Linked DNA regions of Arabidopsis thaliana. The protein of the gene in region 1 interacts with the protein of each later gene in a pairwise test. Each region holds a gene or a part of one and is shown in the gene's direction. Other genes may lie near its edges. The genes, in order: GATA19, AT1G02210, AT1G48040 and AT1G22490.

Region 1 (4,198 bases):
GTTTGGCTCTTGTTGTAAAATCTGTTAGTTTATATAAAGACTTTTCATTTTTGTGTAATTGGGACTTGTCGAAGAAAATAACGAATGTTAGTGCGAAATCTAACAACATTCAACCAAATGAAGGTGATATGATGGGCCAAGAAACGTGGGCTGGATTAGGCGTTATCAGGCTTCAACAGCTCAGTTAGATTATAATAAGATTAGAAGTCACGTGAGTGAAGAGACATGACATGTAATGTGAAATTACGAAGTCGAACACTTTGCGTCTTGGGGTAATCGTTAGGGTTAGGTTTCGTGTTCTACGAAGCAAAGAGCATAAGAGACAGAGAGGCATCTTTTGGGAAAGCGGTGGTCGCCGTATCTCAATTGAACCAAAAATTAACCAATCTCAAGACCGATCCGATTCTCTTTGTTCCCTCTCTCTCTGGGTCTCTTGGTGTTCTTTTAATCTTTTTTACTCTTTCCCGTTTCACGCATTTTGTCCACTCGTGTTTGGCGGCACACGACATCCTCCAACAAGATTATTGAATTGATATTCTTAAAACTCATCAATTTGATTGTTTTCCTTTTGTTGAACGAGTGAGGTTTATAGAAAACACAGTTGATATTTCATGTTTGTAATAAAATGAAATGAATGTTGGTAAATAAGATAATGAAACTCAAATAATAGTATATATAAACATAAAACGTACAATTTATTTATTCTTAATATTTTTTTTTTTAGTTGAGAGCTTATAAAATTAGTATAAAAACGTTACACATTTTGACGTACCCCATTACGATAATTGATCCAAAAATGGGTCGGCCGATCAAATTTAAAATTATTTGATACAAAACCTTACTTTGAAAGCAAAAAAAACATAGATCTGTTCTTGGAGATAACGTAACTTCGTTATTTGATCCAAAATTAGATAAAAAGAGAAAGAAGATAAAGGATAAAGAAATAAGAGCTTAGAGCTACAGAGTGTACTCATTTGATGGGTTCATTCTCTTTGTACCCTTTTTCTTTTAAATTTTAAATTTTGGTTGGAGTTTGCTTCTTTGACTAAATCAATAGAAACATAGAATAACTCTCACCAAGCTAAAGAAAGAACACAATGTAATTGCTTTAAAATCATTGCAAAGTATCTCACTTTGTCTTTATTCCTTTTTAGTTCACTTATAACTTGAACATTGGCTAGTTTTGTTCTTTTAACTCCTTAAAAGCACCGATCTTGGCGATTACGATCTCTCATGCTTGACCACAATCGTAACAACAATATTCAATCACATACAAAACAAATTTTTTGATTAAGGTTAAAAACAACATAATTATACGTCATATACAACATTTTATTTGTATTATTACGACTGTCGTTAGAGAGCCACTGAAATTGTAGTGCGGTGAACATTAACAGTGTCGCACACTATTTGAATTTAGAACATAAAATGGATTCATGCATATATGAGAGTATGACACGTCGAATTGGTGAAGCGAGCGATGACGTGTGGAAGAAGAGATTCGGAAAGAGAAGGAGCGTTTAATTTCGAGATGATCGTGATCAGAGAGAGACCAGATCCTTGGAAGACCGTGACATTGCCAGTCACGTGCCTCTTTTTTGACTACCTTCCTCTCTGCTGCTTTAACTGCAGATGTACTTATCATTTATTTTCTTACTTTACCATTTAAATAATATATCAAAACACTGTAGTTTGCTTAGCATTGTTAAACAAGACTACTCACTTGGTACTTGGTCGTGGAATATTATACGGTATGCAATGAATTTGCATAATAATCTAGATTCGGAGCAGTATCATTAATTAATTTTGTTAGGTTAAAACGTTTTGTTATTAAAAATCGCTTAGAACTGAACAAAAACCAACACATATTTAGAATATTCATTGCAACATCTTTGTAGACAAACTAAAGGAGCAAATTCACATGTAAATCTAAAGAACAAAAGAATAAAGCATAGATTAATCATACACACATAATAAGACCGGGACCAAATTTTCCTCTTTTGCCAAGTTCCCAAATTCTCTATAAATACTTCTTGTCTCCATTTCACAACAGCAACGTGGACTCTTTCTTTGTTTTGGCTGACTCTTCTTTCACCGTTTCCTTAGAGAACTTATTCATCTCATAAACACCACACACAACACACACTTCTCTTTCTCCTTCTCTCTATATATTTTAATATCAACTTTCTAGGGTTTCCAAGTTCATATATAGTGATGGGTTTCTCAATGTTCTTCTCCCCCGAAAACGACGTCAGCCATCATTCCTCTCCATATGCTTCTGTTGACTGCACTCTCTCACTTGGAACTCCCTCCACTCGCCTCTGCAACGAGGATGATGAACGTAGATTCTCGTCTCATACCTCCGACACCATAGGCTGGGACTTCTTGAACGGTTCCAAGAAAGGCGGTGGAGGCGGCGGACATAACCTCCTCGCTCGCCGTTGCGCCAACTGCGACACCACTTCTACTCCTCTTTGGAGAAACGGTCCAAGAGGTCCCAAGGTATTTAATATGTAACCTTTACATCAAATATTTTATCATTTCTTGATGTGGGACTAATATTTCTCTCTGTACAACAAAACAAATATTGATAATAACTTTATATGATTTTTAATTTGGTCAGTCGTTGTGTAATGCGTGTGGAATCCGATTCAAGAAAGAAGAGAGACGTGCATCGACCGCCAGAAACTCGACCTCCGGCGGAGGATCAACTGCAGCTGGAGTTCCAACTTTGGATCATCAAGCAAGTGCAAATTATTATTATAACAATAATAACCAATATGCTTCATCGTCGCCTTGGCACCATCAGCATAATACGCAGAGAGTTCCATATTACTCGCCGGCCAATAACGAATACTCATACGTTGATGATGTCAGAGTTGTTGATCATGACGTCACAACCGACCCGTTCTTGTCTTGGAGGCTTAACGTCGCCGACCGGACCGGCCTTGTCCACGATTTTACGATGTGATGAGTGATCATTTCATAGATATTCCCCTTATAAGTCTTAGCCTTGGATACCTTTTAACAAAAAAGAAAAGTCTTAGCCTTCGTTAAATTCTTTATTTTACTTTCCTTTAAATATAAATATTTAATGTCTTTTTTTGGTCTCTGTGTAAGTGTTTTTCTTAAATTTATAATTCGTATGATGGATGCTACTTGTGTTTTCCTTGCATGACTTTTAAAATGTTCTCTCGGGTAATGAACTAATAATTCGTGACTTTATAACCTTTACATGATGTGTGTCCTACTTTGACCACGATTCAGTGATATACTATACATATACAGAATACATATTCATTCCTTTAATTTCTTTTTAAAGCATCTTTGGGTTTTTGTACGGAGAATGTGAATATTTTGGGATGCAGATACTATCTTCACAAATACTTATATCTTAAACGTTTAATTTGTGAGTTTCTTTTCCAAATTGAAATAATCAAATACTTGGACCGAATTTGAAAATTAAGCCAACAAATATCTGCAGGGTGGCCAAGCTGAATGTTTGTCGTGTTTTGCCCAAATTGTCTTGGAAATTTGACCATCAATTAGGTCTTCGTGTGCTGCTCTGCTTAAAACTGTTGCTGCCAACTGCATGTGAAGAATATTTATCTTTTTCATAACGTGTTTAGTTATTGTATTAAAAAAACGTTAGTTTTTATTTGATTGTTTCCGGAAACACAATCCAAGATAATAAAGTGTTTTGAAACTCTATAACAACAGAAAGCGAGAGTAACAATTTTTTTTTGAGTCATTTATGAGAGTCAAGACGAAAAAAGAGTCACTAAACTACTAAATTTGTCTTCCAATTAGAATAATAATGAAATGTTTTTCTATTTTTTCACGAATAAAATTAAATGTCTTCAGAATTTCTACTTTCCACTTTCAACCGCTCCTGACCGGGAATGAGCATATAAGTTGCGATTTTATTTGGGCCTAAGCCCATTCGATATAAATTCCATTCAAAGTCAAATGAAATTCCAAATTGAAACGATTTTTTAAAAATTGGAATATAGACCACCGCCAGATTCTATACCTATAAAACTCTATTTTACCAAGACCTACATATACATCATACAAATATACATTACTTATCCGCTACGCAAGAAGAAACTGTAACATACGGATTTAAGTAGGATGTTTAGGTCATCCACCGGGTATCTCCCCAACTGTAATTAGATCCAACAAACGCTATCTTGTC
Region 2 (3,136 bases), on another chromosome or scaffold:
CAACAATTCTGAGGTGGGTTCATCTCAAAACTTCTTTTCTGTTTTAAATCTGACAACGACTTCTTTTGCGTTCTCCCCCTTTTTCAGGGATCCTCACTTCACAGAGAAGATCCAAGTCAGTTTGGTGATGTGCTGCAAGAAGCTCCAATCGAGGATGCTAAACTGACCGAGGAATTGGTAAAATGGCTGATGAATGATGAGGATGATGCTCAAATCGAGGATGCTATACCGATTGAGGAATGGGAAACATGGTTGAATGATATTGATGATGCTAAGGAGAAGAGTATCATGTTTATGCATGATAATCGAAGTGATTACAGACCTCCAAACTCATTAACTGGTGTCTTCAGTGATGATGTTAGCAGTGATGATAATGATTCTGATTTGCTAACTCCAAAAACAGTAAGCAAATTTCTACTTTTGTACCTTTATAATCCTCTGTTTTCGTATTTCACCTTACAAAGCTCAAGTTTTTGTTTCATTCATTTGACAGAACTCTATTCAAACTTCGAGCACTTGTGATAGTTTTGGTAGCTCAAATCATCGCATAGACCAGATCAAAGACCTGCAAGAATCTCCTACCTCAACAATCAACTTAGTGTCACTAACTCAAGAGGTGAGCTTTCTTATCTCTCTATCTTTCACTGAGGCAAACAATCCTTAATGCTACTTTGTGCCATCACTACTAACAACACAAACAATCAATGATGCTACTTTGTGCCAACACTCATTACAACGACTTTGTTTCTTTGTTATGATTCAAGGTGAGCCAAGCTCTAATAACCAGTATTGATACCGCCGAGAAGAAGAAGAATCCTTATGATGATGCACAAGGGACTGAGATTGGTGAGCATAAATTGGGTCAAGAGACGATCAAGAAGAAAAGAGCTGGTTTCTTTCACAGGATGATACAAAAATTCGTCAAGAAAATTCACCTATGTTCTTCCATCTCAAGAACTTGATAACAATAAAAGTGATCAATAACACCTTTTCTACTTTCCAAATTATTTACAACAGTACAAGTGTATGCTATGATGTCTATCTTGGTTTGTAACTTTACCATACTGTATGTGTGATATGTATAAAACTGGTAAATTTGTGAAGACAAATTTGTATCCATTGACATAATAATGTCTATCTTGTTTTGTTACTTTCTCATCTTGTATGTATGCTCCATTGTGAAGACAAAGTTGTATAATTTCTGCTCATACAGCTAACCAAATGCTCAAATTTTATTTGACGTACCCTATCAAGTATCAATCAACCTCGAAGTACTATTCTAGTCCTACCTAACCCCATAAACAAATTCCATTCAACGAAAGAAAACAAGAATAAATTTCAAATTAAGATGCTTCATTTCAGTAATGTCAAGAGTCTTTTTTTGGACTTTCAAGTCTACATCATATATGTACACGTGCATGTTGTCATGTTGATGGCTAAATCCAAAACCCATTAGACTATTGTTTATTTGTTTACATTATCCTATATCATGTAATTTTAGTAATCTTTCTTTTTCTTCTACATCACTTTCATTCTGTTTCTTGTTAATTCCTCTGTTTCGGCGTTCAAAGACTTTGCTTTCGTTTATTATACATCAAATTACGTACCTTATTCGTTATATCTTCTTCAGAATTAAGGAATTTTTTTATGTTGCCCAAAAAAAAAGAATTTTGTTTTTCTAAATTACCTACATATAAAAATTGTAAACCCTATTTTGCATTTTTCATCGCTCTCTATTGTTTTTAACTTTATGGGTTTATTCGATAAGAATGAAATATCCGGCGGATTTCAGATTCCGGCCGACAGATGACGTTATCATCGAATATTACCTCCTGCTAAAACATCTCGGCATCAAGGAAGGCAATATCATCATTTCATTACCACCGTTAAAATCTCTAGTTACGATCCTTGGCATGTGCCATGAAAGTTTTGGTCAATTAATGCTAGATCATGATTTTCTGATTCAATCATTGATTATAGGCTGATTTCTGATTTAGGTTTTTTTTTTTAATAATTATTATAGCCAAATCAAAGAGCGAGTGGGCTGATACTATGGTATGGTTCTTCTTTAGTTGTGATGAATATAACGAAGAAATATTGAAAACGAATTCGGGTTATTGGAAAGAAACTGTATCCAACACACCAATCATTGGCAAGTGGATAACTAGTAATGGTGTTAAAATTGGTGAGAAACAAGTTTTGGTTTTCCAATCGTATGAAAACATCAATGGATCCAAATCCGATTGGGTAATGCACGTGTATCAACCAACGTTTTTGCCTCCTAATCAGGTAATATTCCGAATTTATGATGTTTAATCACCGTGTCCTTTTTTCTCAACGATGTTATGAGAGAATCTGCCGATTAGCCCTAAAACAATCAAATTTTAGGTTATTTGGTACATATATATATATATATATATATATATATATATATATTATCTTACTTAATTAACACGATCATATATTATATCCTATTTGGTTTAGGTTGTCGAGAAATAGTTAAACAAATCGTACGTGCATGTTATTTGTAAAAATTACCATCCATCTTAGTTAAACTATTGCCTAAAGCTGAGAGTGTTGTGTTTCAAACATCAGGACCACCTCTTCAAATCACAATCTGATATATCTCTACACAATGGTTACTAAGATACATGTCGTATATTTTCTTTATAAATTTGTTAAAAATAAAACTTGAAACAAAGATCAGCCTGAGTAGGTTCAATTTTTGTCTACGTGTGGTATATGATCTTATACGTAGAGTGAGTTTGAACGTTTTAGTGAGATATCTTATGGGCTTTGACGACAGAGAGCATATATTGTCTGCAAAGTAGAGTTCAAAAGTGAAGATAAGGAAGGATATTAGTCGTTGTGGTAAATCTGGTATAATTGAGCTTAATCACTCTTCAACCTCTCGTATTGACCATAACGGAACTTGGCTACTAAGGTCGGTTGAACATTGATTAGTTGTGTCATTGGATATGAATCTTTTGAATATAAAAAGATATGCGCCTACCACTTCTATTTATATTTAAAATATTCATGAAAGGTCGTGAAATATAGTACAACAAAGCAATACTATAATAGAAGAAATTTGTAAAAAGATTTTAAAGATTCCAAATAGCTTTTTTGGTTTTGG
Region 3 (5,354 bases), on another chromosome or scaffold:
CCTACATCGAGCACCAAAACCAAACCCTCCTGCTTCCGATGAACACACACACACACATCGAATTAAAAGTAAAATCGAGCAGGACTAATTTCTCTCAAATGAAATGACAAATTAAAACCCTAAATTACTCCAAGAACAGTTCCAAAAATGAATCAATGAGATATCCAGAACATAATTGAGCATAAAACGAAGTCAAAATCAGCATAAACAGAATTATCAAAGAAGAAATGGTATGCAGCAATGTAGAATAACATGCACGAAACTAAGTAGAAAAAGAAACATCGATGGAAAACAAACAGAAGCTGAAGAAGGTATTAATTTCATTGAATTGATTTCTGAAGAAACCTATAAGAAAAAAAAACGAAGGTTAATATGTAACGAAGTAAGATTAGAAGAAATTATACCCGATTTCGTGCCATTGAGGAGTTGTGCTGGAAGAAGAAGGTGAAGAAGAAGAAGAAGAAGAAGAAGAAGAAGAAGAATGATGAGAAAAAGAGAGATGGTGAAACGAAGAAGACGAAGAATTTTTATTTTATTTTTTTGAAAATAGGCTGACTGACTCTAACGTGGCCTTAAAATGAGATAGGCCCATTGGGCTAAACTATCTAAGAAAAAGTCCATATGTCCAACTTCCAATATGGACTCTGTAGATTTAACAAAAATGGGTATTTTAATAAAGTATGTAATGAATCATATCTTATATAGTATATATCCCTCTGAATCTAAACATAACAATTAAATTTTACTTTTTATTTAAAGTTTAGAAATACAGTTACAAAAAATTATTTTCACTATATTAATTATTTTTCCATTTTAAAACCTCATAAACACATTATCATATTTTAATTTTTTTCAGTAGGCATCCTATATTTTTTTTAGTAGGATCCCAAACTTGAATTTTTCCATGTACCGATCGGTAGGCATCCTATATTAATTATGTCGCAAAGATGTGGTAAGACCCGACCTTGAGATCGTCGAGGATAAAGGGAGAACAAAGAGCATTTTGAGAAAGAAAGTCAACCCACATTTAGAAGAACGAACAAGATTCAATTATTCACAAAGGATATCAAATCATCAACTTCAGTGAAGTCACGCCCAATGCTCAAAATCATCAACCTCGCGTCACCACACACATATTTGTATACACTTGTCTTGTTTCTTAACCAAGAATACACGTATGTAATTTATTTCGCCGTCAAATAATGATTTTTCTTCAAAAATGCAAAACACATACAAATAGTTAAAAATGTTGTTGCGAACTTTCAACGTTAAAAAAAAACAGTTAGATTATATATTATATGTTTACTACTTTGTTTACTCATATTATTATTTAATTTGGTATAATTTCTGCATTTTAAAAACAATAGATATGTAACAACAATTAAATATTTTCTTTTTGTAAGATCAATTTCAATTTATTAAAACATCAAATAGTCTTATGTTTACCGTTTATATATGTTTCGGTTGGATTTTTAGAATCTTCTAAGCCATTGAATTTGTTCGTCATAGGCAGTTCGGTTGGAACTTTGAATTTCAGATATACAAAAAAAAATAGATTAAAAAAAAAAGAACTAAAATCACAAAAAATGTATAAGAACTTATTACATATTCTCAAATAAAACTGGACCTTTCCCTTTTTTTTTTGTGAGTCCCATATGGAAGTTGGGCTTAGAAAATTAAAAGTTGAAAAAAACTTTTTAATTTAAACTAAATATTTAAAAACAGTCTTTTTATAGTTTATATATGTTCCAGTTAGATTTTTGGAATCTTCTGAATCATTGAATTTGTAAGTAACATTTGCGGTTATGTGGGAAATATGTGAATTTAAATATACAAAAAAAAGTAGATAAGAAAACTAGAGATCACAAAGAATATATAAGAATCTATTACACTTTCTTGTCCAATATGGTATATGGAAGTTGGGCTTAAAAAATTAACTCTTTTTTAGTAAAATAAATATTTTTAAAACAGTATTTTAATACATTAAAATTTATAAATTATATTAAATATAGGCATGGGTCAATTAAGAAATATGCAAATAAACAACCAACACAGAAACCAAACCCTAATTCCCCATTCCCTGTCTTCTTTATTCTTTTAGGCGAATTTCAATTGCGTCCAAGCAAAGCACCACCTCTTACCCCGTTGATTTATTCGTCGATTTGCCTTTCGGTGAAATTCGCAATCGGATCTACTCCATTTGATTATTAACCAAGTCATGATTTTGAGTCAAACAATGGTTGCTGAAGCTGAGATCAGGGTTCTTGACGTTAAGTGCCATATCTCCGCTCCTAAAGATCAGAAGAATTTTCAGATCGACGAAGTTCGTGTTTCTGAGTCTGTCCGTGCTGAGATTTCGGGTTCCGCTGAAACGCCTCGATTCGGATCGGTATGTGTTTTTGGTTTCTTGTTCTAAAAATCGCTCATTTTTATTAATTGGGTTTCTTAGAAATTTCCCTTAGAAATTAGATCATGTGGATTCTTCTTTCTCGTAATTGAGTTTGTTGGTTTAGATTAGGAGTTATAATTTGATTTTGAGATTAGACCGTTGCTTGAAATTCTGATAATGATCCGATTCTGCATCAGGGCTTATATTAGTTTTGGGTTTCTTTTTGTTCTCTATTGCATAATAATGTTGAATCCTACATACCCTCTTCGATTAGGTTCGTGTAGACAATGGAAAATGATAAGATTAGTGTTGTGCTTTGGAAAGTTTATACCTTTGCATGAAGAATTAGTTTAGGTGTTCATGAATCAATTTTACATTGTTAGCGGAACGACTCTGATGCTCTGTTCTGGCTGTTCTGTTTCTTTAATTGTGCCAAGTTCAGGAATCTTAAACAAACCTTCTTATGTACATTTGTTGTAACAGGGCATGAGTTGTGTAACTACTACCATTGGAGAATCCGCCAGTGACTTTATCCCAACTATACGTTCAGGGAGCTTTGCTGACATTCGAAGTCGAGAAACCATGGAGGATGAACACATTTGCATAGATGATTTGTCAGCTCACCTTGGATCCTACAACTTCTCGGTACCAAGTGCTTTTTATGGTGTGTTTGATGGTCATGGTGGGCCTGAGGCAGCAATTTTCATGAAGGAGAACTTGACTAGATTGTTTTTCCAAGATGCTGTGTTTCCAGAGATGCCCTCCATTGTGGACGCGTTTTTCTTAGAAGAACTGGAGAATTCTCACCGAAAGGCTTTTGCTTTGGCTGATCTTGCCATGGCTGATGAAACCATTGTCAGTGGTTCATGCGGGACAACCGCTTTGACCGCTCTCATAATCGGACGACATCTTCTTGTTGCTAATGCTGGAGATTGTCGTGCAGTGCTATGTAGGAGAGGAGTGGCTGTTGATATGTCTTTCGATCACAGATCAACATATGAGCCAGAAAGAAGGCGGATTGAAGATTTAGGAGGATACTTTGAGGATGGATACCTCAACGGAGTCCTAGCTGTCACGCGTGCCATTGGAGATTGGGAACTGAAGAATCCTTTCACTGACTCCTCTTCACCACTGATTTCAGACCCAGAGATTGGACAGATCATTCTAACAGAGGACGACGAGTTCTTGATTTTGGCATGTGATGGTATATGGGATGTGTTGTCAAGCCAGAATGCAGTGAGTAATGTAAGGCAAGGATTGAGGAGGCATGGTGACCCGAGACAATGTGCGATGGAACTAGGAAAAGAAGCAGCGAGGCTTCAGTCATCAGATAATATGACGGTTATAGTGATCTGCTTCTCCTCAGTTCCGTCTTCACCTAAACAACCGCAAAGAAGAAGATTAAGATTCTGTGTTTCTGACGAAGCCCGAGCTCGGTTACAAGCAATGCTTGCAGGCGAGTGAAAGCAGTGTTTTTGGCAGTATGTACAAACAACAGGGATCGGGTGTTACCGATCAAACCATTATTTCTCTAATTTGAGATTCGATTCGATGAGATAAAATAAGAGACGTAGAGAGTGATAGAGAGTTAAGGTCTTGTTTGTAATGTGGTTTCTCATTTTTGATTGATCTGTTTTTTTGGTTTGTTTCAGAGAGAGATAGAGAGAAAAACCAGCCTGAAGTTTTGGTAGGATTATTGAAACTGATTAAGAGGATTTCATTTTTGTTCTTGAGGATTAGTGATGTTGTACCCATTATTGATTGTTTTAAGGAATTTTAATTTTAACTATTTTGAATCTAGATTTTGGAGGTTGGTTTAAGAATCTCTCTCCCATATATGTGGAATTCAGAGAGTTTCTTTCTGACTGTGAAAGGTTTTGGAGGTTTATCTCAAAAGCCTCAAATCCTGTCCTTACTTGCTTCTCATCATCTCTATCTTTATCTCTTTATCTTCTTCTCCTCCAACAATCTTCATGTCCATATATTTCTGATGAGTATATTTTTTGATAATTTTTACAATACAGTATTTTTCATTACATATACATAAATATTTTTTGGTGTATTTCTTTACATATGAATTAGAAGTCTAGAACTTATAAAAGTAATTCAAATGTTGACAAGAAAATAATAATAAATCAAGTGTGCATTAAGGTAACTTTGTAATCAATTTCAAATATTTAGTGTACATAATTGAGATTAGAAATTCAAGTATTCATTCATATAAATGATTTATTTACTTATCTATATTTTTGGTCAATTAAGGAAATATTAAAATATTTGTGATTAAAAAGAGAAAAAGGGTTCTAAGAGAGCCTCTCCTCTTTACATTTGCCGGCTCTGTTCATCTCTACAAGGAGCCAAGTCTCTCTTTCTCTCTAAAACAACAATGGCGATGGCGAGTTTAGCTAGGAGGAAGGCGTATTTTCTCACCAGAAACTTATCAAACTCTCCCACTGACGCTCTCAGATTCTCCTTTTCCCTCTCCCGTGGCTTCGCCTCATCAGGATCTGATGAAAACGACGTCGTCATCATCGGCGGCGGTCCCGGTGGTTACGTAGCCGCGATCAAAGCCTCTCAGCTTGGTCTCAAAACCACTTGTATCGAGAAACGCGGCGCTCTCGGTGGTACTTGTCTCAACGTCGGTTGCATTCCTTCCAAGGTCAAATTTCGAATCATCTCTCGTTTCTTCAATCAATTTGTTGATCATAGTTGACGATTTTGATCTGTTCCTTTTGTGGATGATTCTTTTGAGAGTTAATTACTGTCTTTTGTGATGATTATCATTTGCTTAAGCACAGTTATTCCATAATTACTAAATTCTTGGTTGTGTTTATTGATGTATTAGGCTCTGCTTCACTCTTCACATATGTACCATGAGGCGAAGCATTCCTTCGCTAACCATGGTATTAAGGTCTCTTCTGTTGAGGTAGATCTTCCTGCTATGTTGGCTCAGAAAGATAATGCG
Region 4 (5,075 bases), on another chromosome or scaffold:
ATGATCGATAGAAAATAAATATCACTCGTGCGAAAATATCTACATGTTAAACGATGAACTAAAATGATTAAAAAGTAATAAACATAAAGGATGATCGAAACAAATTTTTAAATATTAAATAATAATCGACCAATTAATTTTGAGTTTGATGATGTACAAATAACATTAGGTACACGTATTCAAAGGAGACAAGATTACTATAGCTTAAATTCAATTTGAAGTGCATACAACAAGATTCTTTGTATCATCATGAAAAGTTTGTCCTGCAGTTTTATGTTCACATATTATTTATTTTTTCGGCAAATTGGTTCAGATTTTAAGATTCCAAGTGTCCGACCAAATTTGATTACAAAACGCAGCCTAGTCACATCTATCTAATTCTTTAAATTTTGTTTTCATATCAAAATTGATTTCTACTATTATATATTCCCAGAGTGATTAGATCAGAATAATCAAAAGATGCCACCTAATTTATATACATAACTTTTTTGGTTTTTGATGTTGAAAAGTAGTGACAAAAGATTTTTAATAGACCATCATTTTATAACATGCAAGTAAATATCTCGATTTAAATATATTTTTAATAACATCACGAAACAAATTTGTTAAAACCTGACATAAAGTGATCCCCACCGGCCAAAATAAATCTTCTATTGGTTGTGTATTTTCTGACAAACATTTGTTTTAAAGATTTTTAATTTTAATCGGATACTTAACCATATATTTGATATGGAAATACATTATATTTTTGTTTAAAGTAAAATAATAGAACATGAGTGTAACTAGACGACCCCCAACCTGCAAACAGATTATTTGGTCTTGTGGACTGGTCTACTACTATCTCACGTGCAAACTTGACGCTGCAATGTATACATTTATCTATATGCATCTATGTATCTAAATAGTAATTAGTAACCATAGATAATGGATCTAATTCCACGAAGTTGGATAGATATTCTAAGGTAATATCTGGTAGAATTTTAATTTTCAAACCAAAAAAATTGTTACCAGATGTGAATGCGTAGAACTAAAAATTAATTGGCGTAGACCGTCCTAACTGGAAACTCAAATAACTTTGTTTACAAGTAGCATGTAACTGTATATATATAATGCTTTAGAATTTTTATGGTCCAATTGAAAATTTCACATTTTCGTTTTATTGTATCACTCACTTGTCCGACTGACGTAGAATTGCACGTCTTAATTTTTTTTTGGCGAAAACGCTAATCCGCAACAAAAAAATTTGTTAAAGTAGTCCGTAACTTTTTTTTTGGTTAAAGTAATCCGCAACATGACATATTAGTACTAACGAACTATTGTTTTTTCTATTAATTTTTTGCTATATTTAGAATTTTAAGTAGTTTAGCCATCACCATCTGTGTATCCTTACACTATACATATTCGGAAAAACTCGAAAGAGGTTTTAACTGGTTATGATCACCACCAGCAGTCCAGCACCAGTTTTCTTTCACTCGAACGTCAATATAAATTCACTGCCCACTATATCAGCTTTACCATTTCTTAATAAATTATTTATTATTTATTTGATTTTGAACTAAGAAAGATTATGGGTTTTTAGGAATAGTTCCAAACAATTAACATCTTAATAATAAAATTACTATATAATAAAACTAATTTATATTAAAAACATTATGAACAATTTTTTTCTTTATTTTCTTAACCTCTAATTATTATGAACAAGTTATTTAAATACAATTGGGATGATTATTACAAGTGCACTTTATATCTCCTTTTCAGTGTTTTTTATATATATATTGGTGACAAATACATCTTTTCTTTAGTTTTATTTTTCTTTTCGTTTTTGATCTCTGCGGGAGCATTTATTTTTGGTCAACTGTGAGAGCATCAAAAAAAAAAAAAAAAAAATTAATAGCCTCACAAAGCTTCTCTCAATTCCCTTTTTAAATAAATCACACCACTTTGTTTGATCCTCATATTTCGGTTTTCACTCTCATATCTTTCTTTTGTATATTTATTTTTGTTGAAGATTCACTCTCCTATTCTTCCTCCATGCCGGTGAGTTCTTGAGAATTTAATATTTTGTAAATCAATTTACAAAAAATCTTCATATAACTAATACCATGCTTAGTTTCCTTTAGTGGGCTTAACCCTTTTGCCTTTATTTCCCCCTCGAGACAAAAAGGAGAGCGACAAACACTTCCTGTCTAAATTTTGTTTTCTCTCCTTCTCTCTCCCTCTCTCGGTTTCTCAATCTTTCTTATTTTTTCCATAATTCTGAATTTTTCTTTTCAACAATCTCCGGCTAAAAAATGCCCTTAGAGGCTGTCGTATACCCGCAAGATCCATTCGGATATCTCTCCAATTGCAAAGATTTTATGTTCCACGACTTATACTCTCAAGAAGAGTTCGTAGCTCAAGATACGAAGAACAACATTGATAAGTTAGGGCATGAACAGAGCTTTGTGGAACAAGGTAAGGAGGACGATCATCAATGGCGAGACTATCATCAGTATCCTTTGTTGATCCCTTCGTTGGGAGAAGAGCTTGGTCTTACCGCCATTGATGTGGAGAGTCATCCTCCTCCACAGCACCGGAGGAAGAGGAGGAGAACGAGAAACTGCAAGAACAAGGAAGAGATCGAGAACCAGAGAATGACTCACATCGCCGTCGAGAGAAATCGCCGGAAACAGATGAACGAGTATCTGGCTGTGCTCCGTTCTCTAATGCCGTCGTCGTATGCTCAAAGAGTAACTTACTAATTCAATGTTTATATATGCTATATATCATTTGGTCAGGGTCATTCTTAGGTATATGTGTCTTTGTTTTATTACTTGCTTGGCTGTAGTACTCATTTCTCCATAATATATTAACACAAAAGAATAGAATGAAAATGACTGAGAATATATATTGATGTTTTTATACAATATATTAACAAGAAAATCCACCGTAAATATGGAAGGGTGACGCGTTTATATACATACTAATAATCTTTGCTGTTACATATTTTAATGTATTTTTTAAAATAAAATATTATGTGTCACCAAAAATTAGAACGAGTATGATTGAGAATATTGGGATATGTTTTAGAACAATTTCGTAATAAACTTAAGCAATTAGCAATGATACGTGTGTGTGTATATTTATACATTCAAAGATTTTTTCAATCTTTATGATAACTATATGATCTGACATGAGCGGGTTTTGGTGGTAAAGGGAGATCAAGCGTCGATAGTAGGAGGAGCTATAAACTACGTGAAGGAGTTAGAGCATATTTTACAATCTATGGAGCCGAAGAGAACTAGGACTCATGATCCCAAAGGAGACAAGACTAGCACTAGCTCGTTAGTGGGTCCATTCACAGATTTTTTCAGCTTCCCACAATATTCTACAAAGTCATCATCAGATGTACCGGAAAGCTCATCTTCACCGGCGGAGATAGAGGTTACGGTGGCAGAAAGCCATGCGAACATCAAGATAATGACGAAGAAGAAACCGAGGCAGCTTCTTAAGCTCATAACTTCTTTACAAAGCCTAAGGCTCACTCTTCTTCATCTCAATGTCACCACTCTCCACAACTCCATTCTCTACTCCATCAGCGTCAGGGTACGTACATTTTCAACTTCTCATCATTACTTTGTTTGCTTTTGGGGTAATCATGAGATTAAAGTGAGTAATGACTGTGTGTGTGGTGCATATGGTTTCACTTTGTTGATTTATTTTTTTGTCTCTTATTGTTGGGGGGAAATTTTGGATTAGTACTATTGTGGTTATGCCTGGGCTTTAAAAAGGTTGTGAAGAAAAATTAAAATCATTCTCTTTGTTTTTTTCTTACCTCCTTTGGGTACTTAGGGCTGGGGCCTCAATAGTTGTGGGTCAAACTCATAATCATCATTTTGATTATTATTTTTGTCAATAATAAATTGCGTATCTTAATCGTGCCTGTAAGAATCAGGGGACCAACCTAAAGAAACGAAACACGAATATGTGTCTATCTATATCCACGAATTGTATACGTGGTGTTGTGTATTTATATATGTTTATGTATATGTTTATGTACTGTGGATATATGTTCGGTGGTCACATAATTGTAGATGAGATATGTACGGACAACGAAGTGAGTCCACCATTTGTTTCAGGAGATATTTAGCAAATAGAAAGATATTTTGTTATAGTTATCTACATCCTTCTAATTTTGTTTGTTGCAACTTTTTTCAAGAATTGTTATGTATATCTTTATTTCTTAAGAGAAAATGTGTTGGTTCAGGTTGAAGAAGGAAGCCAACTGAATACCGTGGACGACATTGCAACAGCTTTGAATCAAACCATAAGGAGGATTCAAGAAGAGACATAATTCAGCAAATAGATTATAATTAACTTGTTTTATTTTTATTTTATTTTGAAATAACTGAAATCAGTTTTCTAATTTTTTTTTTTTTTCACTATTCCTCTAATCCTCCCTATGTAAGTTGCATTTTTGTCTCTTGTAATGAATCAATGGTCATAAAGATCTGAACAAAAAAATTGAATAAAAGAAAATGGTTTAAGTCGATAAGTATGTGACATTGGGCGCTAATAGCCGTTAGGCCTACGCCTAATGTACTTCTCAGTGTTTTTAGGGTTGTGTTTAGTGTATAATTATAATGATTAATAGTATGATTGATTAATTTTTGAATTTATTTTCTTCAAAGATGAATTCGTCTTTTTCTAGAACTTTTAAAGTTTGTGGGTTCAACTTTTAATCCGTTAATCACTAAATTTTAGCATGCTCCTACGATAGTGGAGGTTATACCTTTGGCTTTGAATGCAAACAAATTCTTTCTATCTAGTAACCCAAGAAAATAAAATTGAAAATAAAAAATTTGATATACAAGGTTGTATCTTTATTATAAAAAAAAACATTTAGCCGACCATAACACACATGTATAACTAACTATTCGTGGGAAATCAAACTATTTTCACCTCGATATATGAACCATATGATGGACAACTTACAAACCCACTAAACCTTCCAAAAGGACCAAAACTAAGTAAATATTTTGAATATACGTAGTTTAGTATAGTTCAAGTTTAAAACCTTATTTTTGAAGTGGATG

The links.
Region 2: the proteins of GATA19 (region 1) and AT1G02210 interact in a two-hybrid assay, tested with the Arabidopsis thaliana proteins (one large-scale study listed by BioGRID).
Region 3: the proteins of GATA19 (region 1) and AT1G48040 interact in a two-hybrid assay, tested with the Arabidopsis thaliana proteins (one large-scale study listed by BioGRID).
Region 4: the proteins of GATA19 (region 1) and AT1G22490 interact in a two-hybrid assay, tested with the Arabidopsis thaliana proteins (one large-scale study listed by BioGRID).

The regions. Positions count from the first base shown.
Region 1 is NC_003075.7:17,267,679-17,271,876, reverse strand, and holds GATA19 (GATA transcription factor 19), read left to right. Parts: upstream 1-1,877; 5' UTR 1,878-2,214; coding exon 2,215-2,502; intron 2,503-2,623; coding exon 2,624-2,971; 3' UTR 2,972-3,188; downstream 3,189-4,198. UniProt on the Arabidopsis thaliana protein: Transcriptional regulator that specifically binds 5'-GATA-3' or 5'-GAT-3' motifs within gene promoters.
Region 2 is NC_003070.9:426,728-429,863, reverse strand, and holds AT1G02210 (NAC (No Apical Meristem) domain transcriptional regulator superfamily protein), read left to right. Parts: upstream 1-2,052; coding exon 2,053-2,316; downstream 2,317-3,136. Other genes in the region: NAC003 (NAC domain containing protein 3), read left to right, coding at 1-13, 88-402, 494-616, 765-962.
Region 3 is NC_003070.9:17,718,563-17,723,916, reverse strand, and holds AT1G48040 (Protein phosphatase 2C family protein), read left to right. Parts: upstream 1-2,025; 5' UTR 2,026-2,218; coding exon 2,219-2,389; intron 2,390-2,872; coding exon 2,873-3,853; 3' UTR 3,854-4,333; downstream 4,334-5,354. Other genes in the region: Ku80 family protein, read right to left, coding at 1-29, 405-419; mtLPD1 (mitochondrial lipoamide dehydrogenase 1), read left to right, coding at 4,776-5,048, 5,235-5,354.
Region 4 is NC_003070.9:7,937,706-7,942,780, reverse strand, and holds AT1G22490 (basic helix-loop-helix (bHLH) DNA-binding superfamily protein), read left to right. Parts: upstream 1-2,155; 5' UTR 2,156-2,291; coding exon 2,292-2,729; intron 2,730-3,195; coding exon 3,196-3,738; 3' UTR 3,739-4,184; downstream 4,185-5,075.